Linked DNA regions of Alligator mississippiensis. The protein of the gene in region 1 interacts with the protein of each later gene in a pairwise test. Links are inferred from orthologs where the notes say so. Each region holds a gene or a part of one and is shown in the gene's direction. Other genes may lie near its edges.

Region 1 (9,143 bases):
GCTGGATTCTGTCCCTCCTCTCCAGTGTGCCCACTTCTCCCCACATCTTTGTGTCATCAGTGAATTCGGACAGTGTGCTTTCCACGCCCACCTCCAAGTGACTGATGAAGATGTTGAATCTTAGGGGAGAACACAACAGATTTGGTAAAAGCTTCCTGTCTAGGATTACTACTCTGGATGCAAGCTGCTCAGCAGCCTTATCCCCAAAGACATTTGCATCCTCCAAGTTCCCACAAAGATTGAAGCTTCAAAGTAACCCAGACAAAACAGCAGAGACTTTAGGGCTGGGATCTACCCTGGGAAATGGCAGTCTGGCACAGTCAGCAATGAATGATCTAAGGCCTCTTTGTTACTTACCTCTAAACTGTCACTCCCATCAGCCTCTCTATCTATTATGTCAAAGATATCTTCGTGGATTTTTTCACCCTGCAAGGCAGAACCAAAACAACATTCATTCCATTAATTTCTCCTTGAGGAATCACAGAGAAGTAGGTCTGGAAGAGACCTCCAGAGGTCATCTAGTTCAATGGTTCTCAACTATTTTTGTACCAGAATTTGTAAACATTGATGGCCAGTCCCGACTCAGTAAATACTTTAAGTAGAAAACAGCTCCCAGACCCTGCCAGTACCTCTCATTCCTGACCCACAGGCCCCTGGCCCTGCTGGTGCCCCTCACTGACCTACAGCCCTCTGGTCCTGCCAGTGACTCCCAACCCACAGATCTCTGGCCCTGCCAGTGTCCCCCCAGTTGGCTACTCCTCATGCTGCTGGAAGCACAGCTGGCACAGGTTCATGGTGGCAGCAGAAATGAGTCTCGCTGCCCTTGCCCACTCTCCCATGCTGGGACCCACCTGCTGGGCCATGGAAGCAGCTCCTGCCTGTGTCAGTCTGGTCAGGCTGCAGCCCCGTGCCTGCTGCAGGTGCACAACTCTGGAGGGGCATGTGGCCCCCCCATCCCCCCCAACACACTGAAGGGCTGGGGATGGGAAGCAGCAGGTTGGGAGTGAGGGGTACCAGCAGCAGGGCTGGGAAGGTGGGGGGACTGTGGGTTGGGAGTGAGGTCCTCCCCCAAATGTTGCCTGTGCCCATTCCTGCCCCCCAATGCATTGTTTATGCCCCCTCCACCCCATAGACTTACCGGTGGGAAGCTGCAGGAGCTTCTCCCCACCCTGCTTAGTTGCCATGTGCATACGCACATGCATATGGTGCCTCCTGGCTGATCACCTTCTACCCACTCCCCACAGCTCCAAGCAGCCCCTTGTATGCTAGAACTCTGCCAGCATGCAAGGGCAAACATGTACTTTCCTGTGTTTTTCTATGACGGTCACAACCCTTTCAAATATTCTTATGACCAACTTTTGGGTTGCAACCCAAGGGTTGAGAAACACTCATCTAGTCCAACCCCCCTGCCAGAGGCAGGATCATCCCTATCCAAACCATACTATACAATCCATAATCTAAACTCTACATAAAACCACCATTAACCCTGACACAACACAGACATAACACCTTAACCTGCCACAGGTATGTGCCAGGCATAATGTCATGCAGCTTCCAGCCATGCCATTAGATCCTTTGGGGGTGTTTTTTTACCCATGAGTCCATCCTGAATGGGATGGTACTTGCATATCAGCACTTAGGATCATAAGAAAGTAAAGTTGGAAGGGACCTTATGAGGTCATTTAATCCAGCTCCCTGCTTAAGGCTATTCCAGCCAAGAGCTTTTCTTTCACCTGCTCTTAAGAATTTCTACGGATGGAGATTCCACAGCTTCTCTATGTAGCCAGTTCCAGTGCTTGACCTCATACTCAAACAGTTCTTCCCAATTTCCAAACTAAATTTTCCCTGCTGCAGCTTGAGGAAATTGCTCCTAGTCCTGTCCCCTACAGCCACAAAGAAAGAGCTTTCTCTAACTTCTTTATAATCATCTTTCAGTATTTCAAACTGTTAGCAAATCCCTCCTCAGTCGTTTCCTCTCCAGACTAAACAAGTCCAGTTCCTTCAGTCTCTACTCATAAATCACGGTCCCGAGCTCCCTAACCATTTTCATTGCCCTCTGCTGGACTCTTTCCAATTTGTTCACATCTTTTCTGTAGTGGTGGGCCCAGAACTGGACACACTACTCCAGATGTGGCCTCACTACTGCCAAGTAGAGGGGAATAAATCACTTCCTTTGATCTACTGGCAATGCTCCTACTAATGAAACCCAGTATGCTGGTAGTCTTCTTTACAACAAGGGCACGCTGTTGACTCATATTCAGCTTCTCGCCCACTGTAAGCCCCAGGTCCTTTTCTATTGAGCTGTTGCTTAGCCACTCAGTCCCCAGCCTGTACCGGTGCATGGGATTGTTTCATCCTCAGTTCGGGATTTTGCACTTGTCCTTAATTAACTTCATGAGATTTCTTTTGGTCCAATCTTGCAATTTGTCAAGGTCTCTCTGAATCCTAGCTCTACCCTATAGCATATCTACTACTCCCCCCAGCTTGGTGTTATCTGCTGCAGGTGCACCTCATCCCATCTGCCAGGTTGTTGATGAAGATATTGAACAAAACCAGCCACAGGACCACCCCCTGGGGCACTCCCCTTGATAGCAGTTGCCAACTAGACACAGAGCCATTGACTACTACCCTCTGAGCTGGATTATCCAGCCAGTTTTCTATCCACCTTACAGTCCATTCATCCAACCAACCAACCAACCCATACTTCTTTAGCTCACTTGTGAGACTGTTATGGAAGACTGTATCAAAAGACTTGCTAAAGTCAAAGTATATCACATCCATTGCTTTCCCCACAAGAGCCAGTCATCTCATAAAAAGCAATCAGGTTGGTCAGGCATGATTTGCCCTAGGTGAATCCATGCTGACGGTTCCTAAACACCACTGCCTCCTCCAAGTGCTTAGAAATGGATTCCCTGAGGACCTGTCCCATGATTTGTCCAGGGACTAAGGTAAGGCTGATAGGTTTGTACTTTCCCAGATCCTCCTTCTTCTAAACATGGGCACTATATTTGCCCTTTTCTGATCACCTGGGAACTCTCCTGATTGCCAAAAGTTTTCAAAGATAACAGCCAGTGGCTCTGTAACCACATCACCCAACTCCCTCAGCACCCCTGGGTGCATCACATCTGGCACCATCAACTTGTACATATCCAGCTTTTCTAAATAGTCCCTAACCTGTTCTCTTGCCACTGTTGGCTGCTTACCTCCTCCCCAAACTATGCTGCCAGGAGCAGAACTTGCCTGTGAAGATTGAGGTAAAAAAGGCATCAAGTACTTCAGCCTTTGCTGAATGGGACTGCCCCCCTGTTCAGTAAGGGACCCACATTTCCCCTGATCTTCCTCTTCTTGCAGACATACATGTAGAAACCTTTCTTGTTACCCTTCATGTCCCTTGCTAACTGCAACTCCTGTTGCACTTGACCTTCCTCATTTCATCTCTGAATGCCAAGCAATACTCTTATACTCCTTCCTAGTAGTTTGTCCAAGTTTCCACTTCTTGTAAGCTTCCTTTTTGTGTTTTAGCTCACTGAAGAGTTCCCCGCTATGCCAAGCTGGTTTTCAGCCATACTTGCTAGTCTTCCTGCATATGGATGGTTCATTCCTGCATGTGCCAATGTGTTTTTAAGCCTCCCCAAAGGCATTGGGTGTTGTCTAAAGCTAAGATTGGGGACTTCAACTGGGGTGTGCCAATTCTCCTGCTAGGAGCAAAACTGGAGGTTCCTGGATAGAGGGTCTCGCCATTCTGCTCAGGGTCAGACTGATCGCTATATTTGGGGTCAGGAAGGAATCTTACTCCATGGTCAGACTGGTATGGTCTGTGAGGATCTTTGATTTCTTCTATAGTAGTGGTATTCTATGCAGGACCTCTTGAGCATATATTGAAAACATTTTATGGAAGCAGGACCTTGGATGCTGTGGTTCCCCTGCTTTACCTGTGGCACGTTAGGGTGTTAGGTCTGCGTTTCATCAGGGTTGAGGGTAGTCTTATGTACAGTTTAGATTATGGTTGTATGGGATGGATTGGATAGGGATGATCCTGCCTCAAGCAGGGGGTTGAACTAGATGACCTCTGGAGTGTCCAACTTTTCTATGACTATGACTAAAGTACAACCAGCAATCCTGGATGCCTTTTCCCTTCAGACCAGTCTCCCTGGGGAACATTTTTGGAAAGAGTCCACCAGAGAGAGACAATTTGTCCACATATTTTTGAAGCATGGGACCCAAAACAACACAGAGCGCTGAAGGATTCCGGAATCCCAGCAGGGCTGAAGGAATTCCCTGGTAAGCTCTTAAGCACAAGGACTAGACATATGCTTGCACCAGCATGCATGAGGCCCCTTACCTGGGAGAAGCCGCTGGCCCAGTTGTTTCCGGCCCCACCCCCATGCTCAGACAGGTAGATGTTTTCAGGATTGTACAGGTTCGCATAAGGAGAGTTCAGGATGGAGTGGATCACTCGGGGCTCGAGGTCCAGAAGCACAGCCCGAGGGATGTAATGTTCATCATCTGCCTGTAACGGGGAGCGGTGAGAAGGCTAAAGAACATGATACAGTCATAACTCAACAGCGCTTTGCTCTGCGGGAGAAACCGAGGCAGGCACCGGCTGTCAGCCCAGAGCTATGAACACAGCAAGCATCAGCTTTGGGTCCTGGTGAAGCGGACTGGCAAGGCAACAGTTATTACTGGGCACCTCTCTCTCGAGACAGCACCTATTTGTGTCCGTGGACCCTGCTGTGCCGGGTGCTGCATGCGCACACGCAGAACAGACGCGGCCCCCTTCCACAATGTGCTCCCAATCGTAGCAGATACATGACAACTCAGTGACGGTGGCCGGGGGGCCGCCTGCATCGGGCGCCGCAAGGGGCACAGGCACCTCCGTGCGCGGCAGGCGACAGCCTGGGGGCAGCACGGGGCAGGGGCTGGGATCGGAGCGGCCCTGGGGGGGACCGAGCCCGCACCTGGTAGAAGAAGACGTCCTTGCGGTCCGTGCCCTCGGTGGCGAACTCCTCCACGATGCCCTCGGGGCTGATGCCGTGCTCGGCGCACAGCTGCTTCCAGAACTCGAACCCGACTGCGGCCAAGGAGGGAAGAGGAGGGGAGGCGGCGTCAGCCCCCCGGCCGGCCGGCCCTGCCCGCCCCGGCCTTGCCTGCCCCCGGCCCCGGCCCCGGCCCCGGCCCCGGCCCCGGCCCCAGGCAGGGCACTCCTGGGCGCCCCCGCCTGCCCGGCCCTGCTCACTCTGGTTCCCGCACTGGCCCAGCTGCAGGGTGATGATCTCCCGCGGCATCTCGCCGGAGCCGCCGATTCCACCGCCGCCCGCCCCGCGTCGCCGGGAGCCCGCCGCGCCTGCGCACTAGGTGGCAGCTGTCCGTGCAACAAGATGGCGGCGCCCATGCTCAACGGTGGGCGCCGCCATGTTGAGCCCCGCGCGCAGGCGCGGCGGCCGTTGCCGGGGCGGGGCCAGGGGGGGGCGGCGGATGTTGTTCCCGTGGCGCAGGGGAGGGCAGCGATGGCGGCGGCGGGCGGCCCCGGCGAGCGGGAGCGGCGGGTGCGAGCGCTGAGCGCCGCCCTGCGGGCGCGGCTGGGGCCCTACGAGCCGGCGCTGAGCGCTCTGCAGGCGGCGTTGGTGTGGGAGCGGCCGGGTCGCAGCGCGCTGGGCTGGGCGGCCGCGCACGGCCTCTTCTGGTGAGCGGCGCCGGGGCGGGACACGGGGGCCCAACTCCCCCCTGCGGGCGTCTGAGGCGGGGAGCGGACTCGGGCTGTGCTGCTCGGACTTCGGCCCCGGCCCTGGCCAGTGCGGCCCCGGCCCCCGGTCGCCGCCTTTCCGGACGTGGTGCGATCCGTGCGCAGGTCCCCGCGCGGCTGGAGCCCGTGTCCGAGGCCGGGCTGAGCCCTGCGCGCCCCGCTTGGCCCGGCCCGGCCCGGCCCCCCGTACGGCATCTAGCCCGCGCACCACTCACCTCAGCCCTGCACATCCTGCTCCTGAAGCTGGGAGCTGACCCACAGAGTCGGCCTGCTGAAACGGAGCTTCCCGCTCATGTGCTTTGATGGGCAAACTGGGTGTGAGCGACTGCATAATTTGGTTGCTTTGAGTGGCTTTGCACTGAGTACAGATCATGAGACTTTTTGGGTGTCTTGGCGGCTGTGCTAGCCAATTTGGTCACCTGTCCGCTTCCCCTCTTCCCCAAGTGCGTGAGTGCTACTTCTAGTGAGAAAGGGGGTTTGGTGTGATCTAATACAAGCTCATGTGGGCAGCCCGCTCTCAGGAGTCAATTCTTTGGAGTTGATGCTGTAGTTTTCTGGCAGTTTACTGCCGGGTGGAGCCTCTTCCTCGTCATCAGACCCGCATGCCAAAAAGACTATTCAGGGATTTCTTGGTAGACTGGAGGTAATTGGTGTTAAAATGGCTATGCCTAGTAATTAGTGTTTTGGCTTATGGCAGTTACATTTTTACTGCCAAAGAGAATAAATCATGCTAATCCACAGCTGGAGCACTGAGAGCAGGACCCGTATTCCACCTGCTCCAAATAAATCAAGTTGGACCCAAGATGACAGTGTTCTAGACTGGTATGATTCTGAATTTGAAGCCCAGGACTGTCAAGTAGGTTGACCATCATGGCTCTTGGTTATGATCTTCCAACATCCTTGAGCAAGTGATAGAGAAGGAAACCTCTTCAGCTCCCTTAAGACATCGTGCCTCAAACCCCTGTCCCCCTCCAAAAAATCCCATCATTCTGCTTGATGAGGAGTGTTGAATTCTGGAGCGAGTCCCAGCCACTGCTGTTAAGTTAACCAAGTGGGATTGGTGTCTGGGTAACTACAAACAAAGAATATCCCTCCAGGATCTGAGCATCAGAAGACAGCCCCTCAGAGTGGAGTTGGCCACAAGCAGGCTTTTGGGCCTGGCCTTCCATCTTTCATGCACAGAAACAGGAATTAATTTAACTGCTCCTCGATCACCTGAAATAAAAGTCAACCTAATGCATGCTTTCCTAAGATGGCGCTTGGCTAGCTAGAAGCTACATGGTAAGGGGCACTGAGATTCTATTAAAAGACATTGGCAGAAGTGTGGATTAGCTCTTGTGTATTGTTAGTATTGGTCTCATACCTCAGGTGCTCACACATTTCTCACTGCATTTGAAGCAGACAAGGTTCTTTGGGTAAATATGCTCTCTTTTATTAGACCAACTAAATAGCTGGAAAAATTGTTCTTTGCAAACTTTTGGACATAAACACCCTTCTTCAGGAGTAGGGAGAGTTTGCTTACTTGCACTTGAAACACTTGAGAAAACTCTGACTTGGGTTCACAACCTAGGCAAAGTTGCATAAGGTGGAGGGAGAGAGGAGAAAGTGAAGAATTGGGGTGGTGGTGGGGGGGGAAGGAAATTTACATCTCTAGTGCAATCTCACTACAAGAGCTGCAGGTTAGAGCTTGGATCTTGTGTTTGAATCTCAGCCATTTACAGAATTAGGGAGAAGGAAGCTTCAAAATGATTTTGTCCTCTGAACTTGGAACACTTTACTGCTGTGTAGCATTCTGGTCAAGTTCTGTGTTGTGAATTGGCATTAGCAGAGTAATGAATGTAAGTTTCCTGTTGTCTAGCTTTGGCTTCCAGATGTTTAATTGCTAAGTTAGAAGGGTAAGATTCATTCCACAGTCCTTTAATCTCCAAGCTCTATTATAAAAGGACAGTGTTGAGGCTCCGCTTCTATGCTGGCATCAGCAGCAAGAGCCAAATCATAGAGGGAGAGTTGAACATTTGAGTGTTTTATTGCCTGAATATCTTACCTTATTAGTAGCCTACTAGGATGTTTTCTATTTTTAAAGTAAGTCTGCTAGTTAAACTAGAAGCCTTGCACAAAGTAACCCTGGTGCTGTTAGAGCTGCTTGGAACATGCTCATTAATGTGTTTATGCAGAGAATCTTTTGTGTCAAGGGAGCTGAAGCCCCTGGTATTTAATCAGCCAGCAGTTATCTTGTACAGTACTCATCAGTGGCATCTCTTGAGTTTGGTTTACTCCTTTGCTGTCACTTCCATCTGCATTTCCTCTGTGGGAGAATTGTGAAGTGACTCTTCAGGGGCAGCCTGTGAACACTGCCCTAGGCTGAGGGCATTGAAGGGATTACTGGTCATATGCCCTGGTTCATAGAAATCCTTAATGATGGCGCTGTCTTATATGGGGCCTTTGTCTCTGAAATCACCTCCTGTGTAGCATCTTCCCCAGGTGTCTCTGTTCCTTTGGGTTTTCAATAAATATTTTCAGGATTTAAGAATCTCAGGATTTGGAACGGGCTGGGAAGGTTTATTTTGTTGCATATATTTTTTGGTCAAATCCTATTTGGTTGTTCTGGGCAGAGAGGTAGTTTTCAGAACTAACCCACTTCTATTGCTTTATTTTTATATGGGTACTGCTTGCAGTGTGTACTAGTTTGGATGGATTTCAAGGCAGATTGCTAAGTATGAGAGTCTCTGTCTGGAATTTAAATGATCTGCTTCTCTAATGATATTGGATTCAGACCTTACAAAGCACCAAGCTGAGGGGAGAGGGAGGGAGAATCCAGTATAGAACTGAACAGATGCTACCTTTTGAAGTGGTAGGATTTGTACCTTTTGTGTGTTTAATTTATGGCAACACATGATTGTCTTGGTAAGATGTGGCCCTTGAACTTCTTAGACTCCTGTCACACCTCCATAACTCCTGTGAATCAAATGGAACCCTATTTCAATAACTAATTTATTATTTTTATTGCAGCACTGAACCCCGGGTGAGGGTGGTGGTTGGGAGAAGAGTGAGCGCTTAGTTTCCTACAGAGTAGCAGGGCAATTTATGCGCTTAGCTGACTGTCTTGAGCTCCTTGTACTGGAGCTGGGGCAGGATGAAACTGTTCACTATCTTAGGGGAGGAGCGAGCACTTAGCTCCTCACACAGGGCAGGCAAAGACAAGTATGAGCTTACCTCCTTGCACTGGAGCTAGGCAAATGAGCTTGCACTTACCTGCTTGCATAGGGGCCGGGTGGAGAAGAACGAGTGCTTACCTCCTTGTACCCTGTGGCACCCTCAAAAGAATCTTGTGGCACCCTAGGGTGCTGTGACCCCCTGTTAAGAACTGTGGAGTTGCATGTAACTTCTAACAAGACTTTAG
Region 2 (9,504 bases), on another chromosome or scaffold:
GTCTCAATTCCTAAACCACTGGTGCTTCCCCAGCCCTAAGGCTATCTTTCCCCAAGCAGCTTAGATACTTTATCGGAGATTCCCCCTGCAACCTGCTCAGGAGCTCTTCCTTCAATGGCTTCCAGGGCTAGATTGCCTGTCCAGCTCAAACTCTGGTTTTATATTGTGCAAGCCAACCTCTTTTGGGATCATGTGGCTCCCCTGATTACCTTCTGCTTTACCTGCTGTTTCATGTGACCCTGTATGGGTAATCAAGGAACAGGTCCCTACTTAATATAAACCGTGTCTTTTATTATATCAGTTTCTTACAGAGCTGTTACAGGGCCTGCTGTTTTCCCCCAGCCTCTCTAACTCTCTTGTTTTTCCTGTCTCCTCCCCCTTGCTTCCTGTTCCTCCTTCTCAGCTGTTGCTGGTTTTGCCTTTGAGATCCATACCGCCTGGTTTTCCTGCAGCCTGCCTTCCTTTAAAATAGTAGGAGCACCAAACTCCCTGCTATAGACCCCTTGCCCCAAAGACTATGCAATGCACTCAGATTAAGTTCAGAAAAACAAGCCTATGCATAAATTATCCAAACAGTACTCATTAAATATACAGCATGGTCAGTGCTGTGGTATTAGTGGTTTTGAAATAGACTAACTCCTTTCATTTTCAGGGTTTCTAATAGCAGCCTTTTAACAGCTGCTTCATCTTCACCATTTTTGTGCATTTATGCAGAGTACAATTATGTTATAAAGTAGATATTGGGGCTGAAAGATGCTGTGTACTGTTGTTTCTGCATTTAAGTGGCATACAGATAACTGATGTTCATTTTAATGGAAGCAATGGGCAACAAATTGTCACACAATGCTGGTCCCAAAGTTAAGCAAATTTTGCCCTTCTTCAGCGTGCATGTCAGTTGATGTACAAAAAGATGCCTGTTAAAATGTGTTACCATCATCATATTTCTTTATGATGACATGACAGCAGCTGTCCTAAGCAATGGCTCAGAAACAGACCCATTTATTATTAGAACTGGAGTCAAGCAAGGATTTGTAATTGCATCAACATTTTTTTTCATCTGTATTGCAGCTATTCTGTACATCATTGCTGATAAGTTTCTATCTGGAGTCAGCATTCAGTACTGACAGACTGGGATTTCTTTAATATTAACTGGTTATGTTCCCAATCCAAAATAACCAACACTTCCATTACTGATCTTCAATATACTGGTCATTGTGTTGTGTATGCCTGGGACTTCCTGATTGCTTCAAGAAAACCAAACTACCTTACCAATCCCAACCCAAGAAGCTGCTTACAATTAAGGAGAATCTTTGGAGAATGTTGAACATTTCCCATACCTAGGTAGCTGCCTCTTCCAAAAAGTAAATATAGATGATGATATTTAACATCAGATAAAATCTATCAGTACCGCCTTTGGACATCTCCAAAATCATGTTAAATGATTATGACATCAGGACCCATACCAAACTTCTTGTTTACCAGGCTGCCATTGTTCCTATGCTGTTGTATGGGTACAAAACCCAGACAACATACCAGAAACACCTGAAAGGTTTGAAAATTACCATCAGTGATGTCTTCAGAAAATTCTCTATTTCAATTGGAAGAACAGATGCTAGTATTCTAGTTCAAATAAATTCTACCAGCATTGAAGCTATGCTTATATGACTGCTGTCATGACCCAAAGGTCTGATTTTTTTGTGTGTGTGCTTCGGCACTCGAATTATCCCCGTGGGTATACAGCTTCATTGCACGGAGGAGTTCTGCTGCACAGAGAACCTGCGTGTAAAGGAGCGTTCCAGCCACTTTGCAGCGATCTTTGCAGGGTGCATTTCCTTTGCAACACAGAAATGCACGGTGCAAAGAGTTCCCACTCGTCGTATGTAAATTCGTGCCCTGCAATTGGCTAGTTCTAAATTATTCACACGTGGCGGCTAGCGATTGGCCTGCTAGCCGTATAAGAGGCTTGAGCAGTTTCCGCCCAAGCCGAAGAGGACTCCGCATCCATCTCGTGCGGACTCTGGGTGTGCGCGGCAGGGTAATAGAAACCCTGTGTGTTGCCCAGAGGAGTTTGGCGGCCTGATCCACCGCCCACCTCTTCCCGTCTTCGAACGGAGCCTACTATAAGACGTACCGACGAGTTTAATGTGCGCTTGTCCTGGACATCTGGAGTTCTGTCTGCGTGGAGCCTAGCAAACTCCACGTGATCGTTCGTGTTTTGTCTGCGTGGAGCCTAGCAAACTCCACGTGTGTTCATGTTTTCTGTTGTAACCGCAACTCAAGCAAGTTCTCAGCCTGCACCGCGACCATCTCGGTGTAAGTAAAACAATCTTAAAATCAACCGTTACGTGTCTGTGCCTAATTCTAATTCAGCGACCTCCCTCTCCGACCCGGCCTGCCCGGGCTGCCGGCCACAGCCCACATGCAGAGCGACGAAAAGGGCCCGGGGCCTGACCTGGCCCGCACATGGCGACGAGGATGGGATCAGGATCACCGCGGCACATGGCGATGAGCTCAGGAGAGGGCTCGCTAGAGTTAGAATTAGTTGAGAACTGCCCTTGGAGAAGTGGGAGACGCAGCGTAGCAAGCATCGGAGAACTGGAGGCGCACCTCGTGTACCACCAGGCGGGCAGAACGGGCAAGAGATGTGTCTGTGGATACCTTTCGTTAAGGGGAGAAGAGGGAACTCCAGAAGTTGGAGCCCTAGAAGGGAAAGAAATATATCTTCACCCCGCGGCGTTGAGGTGTATCATGGCCGATGAGCGGGTCCTGTACAGGCCCCTCGAGGCTGTGACCCTTGCTGAAGTCGACCCGGCGAGCGCAGTAAGCCCGACCCCCACCCGGGAGTGTCTCCTTTGCTCACGGTGTGCCCGAGAGATGGGAGAGACGATGCCAATCGGCTGGTTTTCCCCTTGTATGGTGGTGCCCAGACTGAGGGGTCAAGATCGTCTGTCCGAGCTCCGCGAAGACCAGGAGACGGAGGACCGTGCCGTAAATGAGAGAGTGGTCCTACAGTGCGACAAGGGGGGAAAACTAAATGCAGCTTTTCAGACTATGACTGATTTAATGAGTGAAACTTTAAGCTTAAAGACCCAGCTGCATATGGCCGTTCGGGCAGTCGGAGAAGCGGCTGAGAAAGGGGATCTTAAACTGCCCCAACAAGATGGCACCGAGCAGAGGGAAGACCGCGTGGAGGAGCCGGAAGTGAGGGATGGAGCTTTGGGAGAGCCCGCGAGTGTTCGGCCGGTAACTCCGCCCAGCGACGCAGCGTCGGTTCCGCCGACCACGCCCCTCTGCCGAAGGGAGGGGGAGTCAAGCAGAGGAGTGCATCCGCCCCTCCCGCCTGAAACAACAACAACCCCCACTGTAACAATGACTACAGCTCCGACAGAAACAGCAACAGCAACGACAACTCGCGAAGAAACTGATCAGCCTGCAGTACAAAGCAGCCCAGTCATTGGTCCGCAGAATGCAGTTCAAGCTACCACCTATTACGCTCGTTCCAGAGCCGAACTGCAGAATTTGTGTAGAGAATCCAGGATCCGACCCGAAGAAACTCTGGCTGTGTGGTTGGGACGTCTGGTCGTGGAACTTGGGTCCGACCTCCTGGACCAGGAAGAAGCAAGCTTCTTGGTGAGACAAGCTTCATGGAGTAGGGGACATGTCACTGACATCAACATGGTGGCATTTAGCGTCCACTGGCCTATTCCGATTCCAGCGCTTGTGGCAGGAGTGATTGAACAGAAGGCCCACGCATGGCACGATGGCCGACCAGAGCATACCAGTGCAGAACAGCTTGTACTAACTATTATCGGAGTTTCGTATTGCGCCTGGAACCCAAGAGAATGCATGTTGGGACTAACACCGCTCCAACGAATGCGACCGTGGCCTCATCGTCACCTGCGAGACCCTGGAACCGTTCCGGTGACTCTCGACAGCATAGATAGTTGTCTTAAAGTTTATGGGCAAAGAAACATCGTGGTTTTGCGGATTGTGCTGAACCCACTGGTCGATCATCCTGTGAGTAGTCTCCTTCATCAGTTGTCAAGACTGCACGTCCTAATGGAGCCAAGACTATCCAGTGATCGGGAGTATCAACGCCCGACCGAGGCTCAGAACACGAAACACCGCAAATCCGAGCGTCCAGTATTATGCCAGAGAACGCAAGAGGAGTCATACATGTTTGGATACCTCCTGCAGCGCTCTGGACTTAATAAGAGACAGCTTCGGATTTTAGGAGATGCGGGACAATGGCAGCTAGCCTACGAGTTAGGTTTTCACTATCTAGAAGAAGGCGACGACGACTCATTGACGATTTCGTCGAGTTGCTGAGTCGGAAAAGAGAAAGAGCTGTCTAGTATAAAATCGTGTTTACATATTTGTATTTAATAAGTAATGATAAGTTTAATCGACTGCATTATCGTGCGGTCCTGTGTGATTTGTGAATAACCATTTTGAGAGAGTTCTTTTACAGATCAGGGATTCGGAGTGCGTGGTGGAGAGAGGCCCCGAGAAGGACAACATCACCAAAAGGAACAAAGGCCTGACGCGCGATTCCACCATGACGCCCACCGAAGTCATGATCGTTCAGTTTTTTGTTATGAATGTAATTTTATGTATATGTGTGTGTGTCGGTTATTATTTGATTCGATCCCTTGAGGACGAACTTTTATTGTTGACTGATTTTGTTTTTGCTCGTTTAGTTTCGCGAACCATTGACAGAGCTGTTAATAACCCGGATGATAGGTTTGAAGTATAATTCTATTGTGCCTTCAGCAAGGGGGGATGTCATGACCCAAAGGTCTGATTTTTTTTGTGTGTGCTTCGGCACTCGAATTATCCCCGTGGGTATACAGCTTCATTGCACGGAGGAGTTCTGCTGCACAGAGAACCCGCGTGCAAAGGAGTGTTCCCGCCACTTTGCAGCGATCTTTGCAGGGTGCATTTCCTTTGCAACACAGAAATGCACGGTGCAAAGAGTTCCCACTCGTCGTATGTAAATTCGTGCCCCGCAATTGGCTAGTTCTAAATTATTCACACGTGGCGGCTAGCGATTGGCCTGCTAGCCGTATAAGAGGCTTGAGCAGTTTCCGCCCAAGCCGAAGAGGACTCCGCATCCATCTCGCGGGGACTCTGGGTGTGCACGGCAGGGTAATAGAAACCCTGTGTGTTGCCCAGAGGAATTTGGCGGCCTGATCCACCGCCCACCTCTTCCCGTCTTCGAACGGAGCCTACTATAAGACGTACCGACGAGTTTAATGCGCGCTTGTCCTGGACATCTGGAGTTCTGTCTGCGTGGAGCCTAGCAAACTCCACGTGATCGTTCGTGTTTTGTCTGCGTGGAGCCTAGCAAACTCCACGTGTGTTCGTGTTTTCTGTTGTAACCGCAACTCAAGCAAGTTCTCAGCCTGCACCGCGACCATCTCGGTGTAAGTAAAACAATCTTAAAATCAACCGTTACGTGTCTGTGCCTAATTCTAACTCAGCGACCTCCCTCTCCGACCCGGCCTGCCCGGGCTGCCGGCCACAGCCCACGTGCAGAGCGACAAAAAGGGCCCGGGGTCTGACCCGGCCCGCACAACTGCCAGCTCCATGGACAAGATATGTTACATGGGTGCCTGACAACTGGCTCCTAAAACCGGTCCTATACTCCCAAATGACTGACGGTCACCACTGTAGATGTGAGCAAAAGATATTCAAAGACACCGTGAAGGCCAATCTGAAAAAATGTGACATTACTATCAATAGTTGGGAGATGTTAGCACTAAATCACCCCCAGTTGTACCGTAATGTACAAGAAGGTATCAATCACTTCAAAAAAACTCATCTCATCTTTATCATGCATTACCTAATTACGAAGTACATAAACTGTCATTCTAAACGAAAGAGTGTAGAATAAGGTCAGAATATCCTTAGTGTCAGGGCATGGAATTAATATCAGCATGTTCCTCATGTGAACAAACTATCAGGGTCAAAATAAATCTTTTCAGGATTAGACAGTTAAAAAAAAAACGATGACTGGGCGTGGAGGGTTCCATCTCCGCATTTGTTTGCCCTCAGCTAGCTTTGTTTTGGCCCATGTCAGCAGGGACATCAATGTTTAATGTCTGTTCAGCTACCTGAGTTCTTGATCCAGATCTTCCACTGATATCAAGAAGCACCAGTGGGTGCCCCACACTGTCTATAAATCAGACCTCACCTAGGTGCTTAGAAATAAAACTACCACCTGTGTTTAAACACACATTTTAATACATTAAACATTGGCCTGTTTGTGCCTTCAGAGAATGTCTAAACAGACATTTGCTACCTAAAACACTGAAAGAAATTAGTTGTTATGGTTTTATCTGAGAACAAGCAACTCATCATCATTCACTGTCCCAGTCTATAGTGGAAGACACAAGGATTATAATTTTATAATGAAAATAATGGCATAAATGCAGAAACATACCTATATACTTTCCACGTGATAAACAATAAATTCTTATTTTGAGGCAGCTCCCTAACTGGTTAAAAAAGGAAGTCAGAATGACTCGATGAGAAAATGTTGTTGTAGCCATGACAGTCCAGAAAATATACAAGAAGCCGGGGGGGGAAGAGATTGTTGATATCTTTTATTGGAGCAATTGGGAGAGATGTTAAACAAATGTTCAGGCACAAAGAATCTTTCTTCAGATGACAAGAGAGGAAATTTTGCATGTTCTGCACCTTTGCCCTACAGGGCTAAAACCTGCAGTTTTTCTCCTATCTGTCCTTAGTATGGAGTCCTTCCATGATATAAAATTTAGGGTGAGCAATATAAAATATGAGACTATTTTAATAGTTTCTTCTTTATTTTGTGGAATTCGCTTGTTTTAACTATGAAACAAAAACATTAGAAAATACTAGCAGGTTACTAAGCAGTCTGGAGGTGTTGTAAGTGTTGTGATTACCAGTATCAATAGTATCAGGTACCAAAATCAAGATAATGGACATGGCTCATGGCTTTGTAATGCCAGTTTTAGACTGGCAGACCTCTACTGAAGCCAGTAGAGCTACACTGTCACAAAAATAAAGCAAGGGGCCATGGGTCTGCTGACATGAAGTCCTGACTTTGAATAAGGACTAATTTCATAGACCTTTTCTGCTTGTGAGGAGTTGTCAGCAGAAGATCCTGGACTGCTCCAGAGCTATCCCGTGCTGAAATAGAACTGTCCAGGTTTCAATATTTTTCTTAAGTCCTTCATTCACTGGCACTTTTTGACTGGATAATCTTGTCAGCTTCCACAGAACTGACACTCTCTTTTCATACCCAACAGGAATTTAAACATCACTGGACAGAACTCAGAGGAACCACACTTTTCTTCTATAACGATAAGAAAACCACAATGGTGAGTAGCACTATGGGCTAATGTGAAGATGTTTGAGCAATTTCGATAGTACTTATCATCAAGCAAGAAAGCATGTGTGTGAGAACTGCCTCTCTCAGTTCCATCCTCCCACACTTTGGAAACCCAAAGAGCAGAAAGCAAGCCCAGAAACCAAAATGCCTGGTGAAGTCATGGGAAGTGAAATTATGATACAGCAAGTTCTTCCTCACCACAGTCATTCAGGCTACACTGAGCATTTGCTCTAGGGATGAGATCTATCTGGAGCTGCAGCACAGGCAGGTGGACTATCTTCTTCAAGGTCACCCAAGAAACACAGAGGCAAGAATAGAACACAGATCTCCTGAGCCCATCAAGTAGTCAATCCACTAGGACCCAATGGGCATTTTTAATGGACATTAAAGATCACCTTGTTCACAGCACTTAAAAGCAGAGCTAAACATTCCCTCCTTCATTGTACAGCTGAGAAGCAGCTGTTAATCTATATATGGTTTTCAAAATAGTGGGGGAAAATGCTGGTTGAAAGATGCTATTATTATGATACATACAGCATGTATATCCTCTTTATCTTTTGTACAGGCTCTTTGACAGAAAAGCAAGAAATTCTACTCCAGTGCCAAGTTTATGCCTTCCTAACACAAAATTTCTGCAGATCAAAAACAAGCACCAGTATAACAAGAATTATTTAATACCCTGAACGGACACAGCTTATCTTGCTTGAACTGTGTTTGAAACCAAGCTCCACAGTTGAAGGCCCCACCACAGTTTTTCAGAGCAGTGTGCATAGGGATGTATTTTTTCCTTAAAACCATTTTATAAAGGGCCTGATTATTCTCTCCCATGTGACTAGAATATTGTTGTGGCCCCTTGACTTCACTAAAGTAGTGCTTGATTTATGCTTATTTCAGTGAAAGATGTAAAAGACTTATTGCTCTAGGTTGTCCTAAGAGCATAGTTTACAACAATGTCATAACTTAGCTCTTAAATAAAAAATTTCAAGCTGCAGTGGTTAGCAAAACTACTGCAGTCTCGCCAGCAACAACTTTGTTCAATGAACATGACAGTAAAGACTGTGTTTTACAACCACCAAGAGTCTATATTAGGCCAGCAGTTCCCAGATAAATTGTTGGAAGAATCAAAACCCTCCAGCAGTACGTTTCTGCAACATCTCCCAAATGTTTCACTGTACAAGATGTGTAAAGAGAGGGACTATGATAGTGAGAATTTTCCCCCTTTATAGTTTTTCCCTGCAAGCCCATGCATGAATCATCATAGACATCTTCTTAGGACTCAAAAGCCAGCCATAACAAGTAAACTTTGTTTTTAAATTCCAGAGGGCATATTTAATTAAGTAATCTGTTTTGCATATAGAGGTTGTAGCTGAAGTTGTTTACATCTCTATACAGGAAGTATCATCTTAATGCCGTATTTCCTGGCTGTCTAATATTTACTTTGTCTTTTCAATTGTGACTTTAATGTTGTAAGTATGTAGAGGGAAGCTGGGAACAGGCAAAGTGAGGGGAGAATTTTATCTCTGCACTGTGGCTAATATACTGGTAATGTAATGGCCTCCAGGCAGCTAGATGCCTTTCTGGAAAACTATCGCATCAGCAATAGCACCTGAGAGGAAGGAGGGATCTGGTCTGGGGAGCTCAGGCTGAAGTTCTTGGACACTGTCCTGAAAGTAAACATTCCTAGACAACACTGAAAACACTTATTACTTTGTATTAGGCAATCTCAAACACACTTACAATATGCATTTATTTGTAAGACCAGACCATACATTATAACTTGAGCTCTCTTTTGCATCACCTGTTCCTCAGGTTTCTCCATGTAGCACCTCTCCCCCTGTCCTTTCCCTTCCTCCTGCCTCACAACACCTTTCAGGTTTTGATTGTCCTGTGTTAGAGCCAGTGGGACCTACCTGATCTGGCTGCCAGGGTGAGTCAGTAAAATAGGACAGCCAAATGCACCAGCTCTGAATTCTAGTATAGGGTCAGCAACCAGCTTGATTTTTTTTCTTGAGAATAATGACCTTTGAGTGATAGGTATGCAGTGGATTTATCTGCTACACTCTGGGTATATCTACAAATGCAATTAAAGACCTGAATTTTCTGTGCAGAAAATTCTGGCTCATTAAAGC

Evidence for each region.
Region 2: the proteins of RETREG3 (region 1) and STAP1 interact in binary tests that used the Homo sapiens proteins (3 or more experiments, as listed by UniProt). The two-hybrid records come from large-scale screens. The link is inferred for Alligator mississippiensis from reciprocal best matches to the Homo sapiens genes RETREG3 and STAP1.

What each region holds. Positions count from the first base shown.
Region 1 is NC_081827.1:152,039,618-152,048,760, reverse strand, and holds the start of RETREG3 (reticulophagy regulator 3), read left to right. Parts: upstream 1-5,496; 5' UTR 5,497-5,507; coding exon 5,508-5,683; intron 5,684-9,143. Other genes in the region: TUBG1 (tubulin gamma-1 chain), read right to left, coding at 358-426, 4,343-4,510, 4,959-5,071, 5,237-5,285. UniProt on the Homo sapiens protein: Endoplasmic reticulum (ER)-anchored autophagy regulator which exists in an inactive state under basal conditions but is activated following cellular stress.
Region 2 is NC_081825.1:133,206,430-133,215,933, reverse strand, and holds the start of STAP1 (signal-transducing adaptor protein 1), read left to right. Parts: upstream 1-5,786; coding exon 5,787-5,798; intron 5,799-7,292; coding exon 7,293-7,364; intron 7,365-9,504. UniProt on the Homo sapiens protein: In BCR signaling, appears to function as a docking protein acting downstream of TEC and participates in a positive feedback loop by increasing the activity of TEC.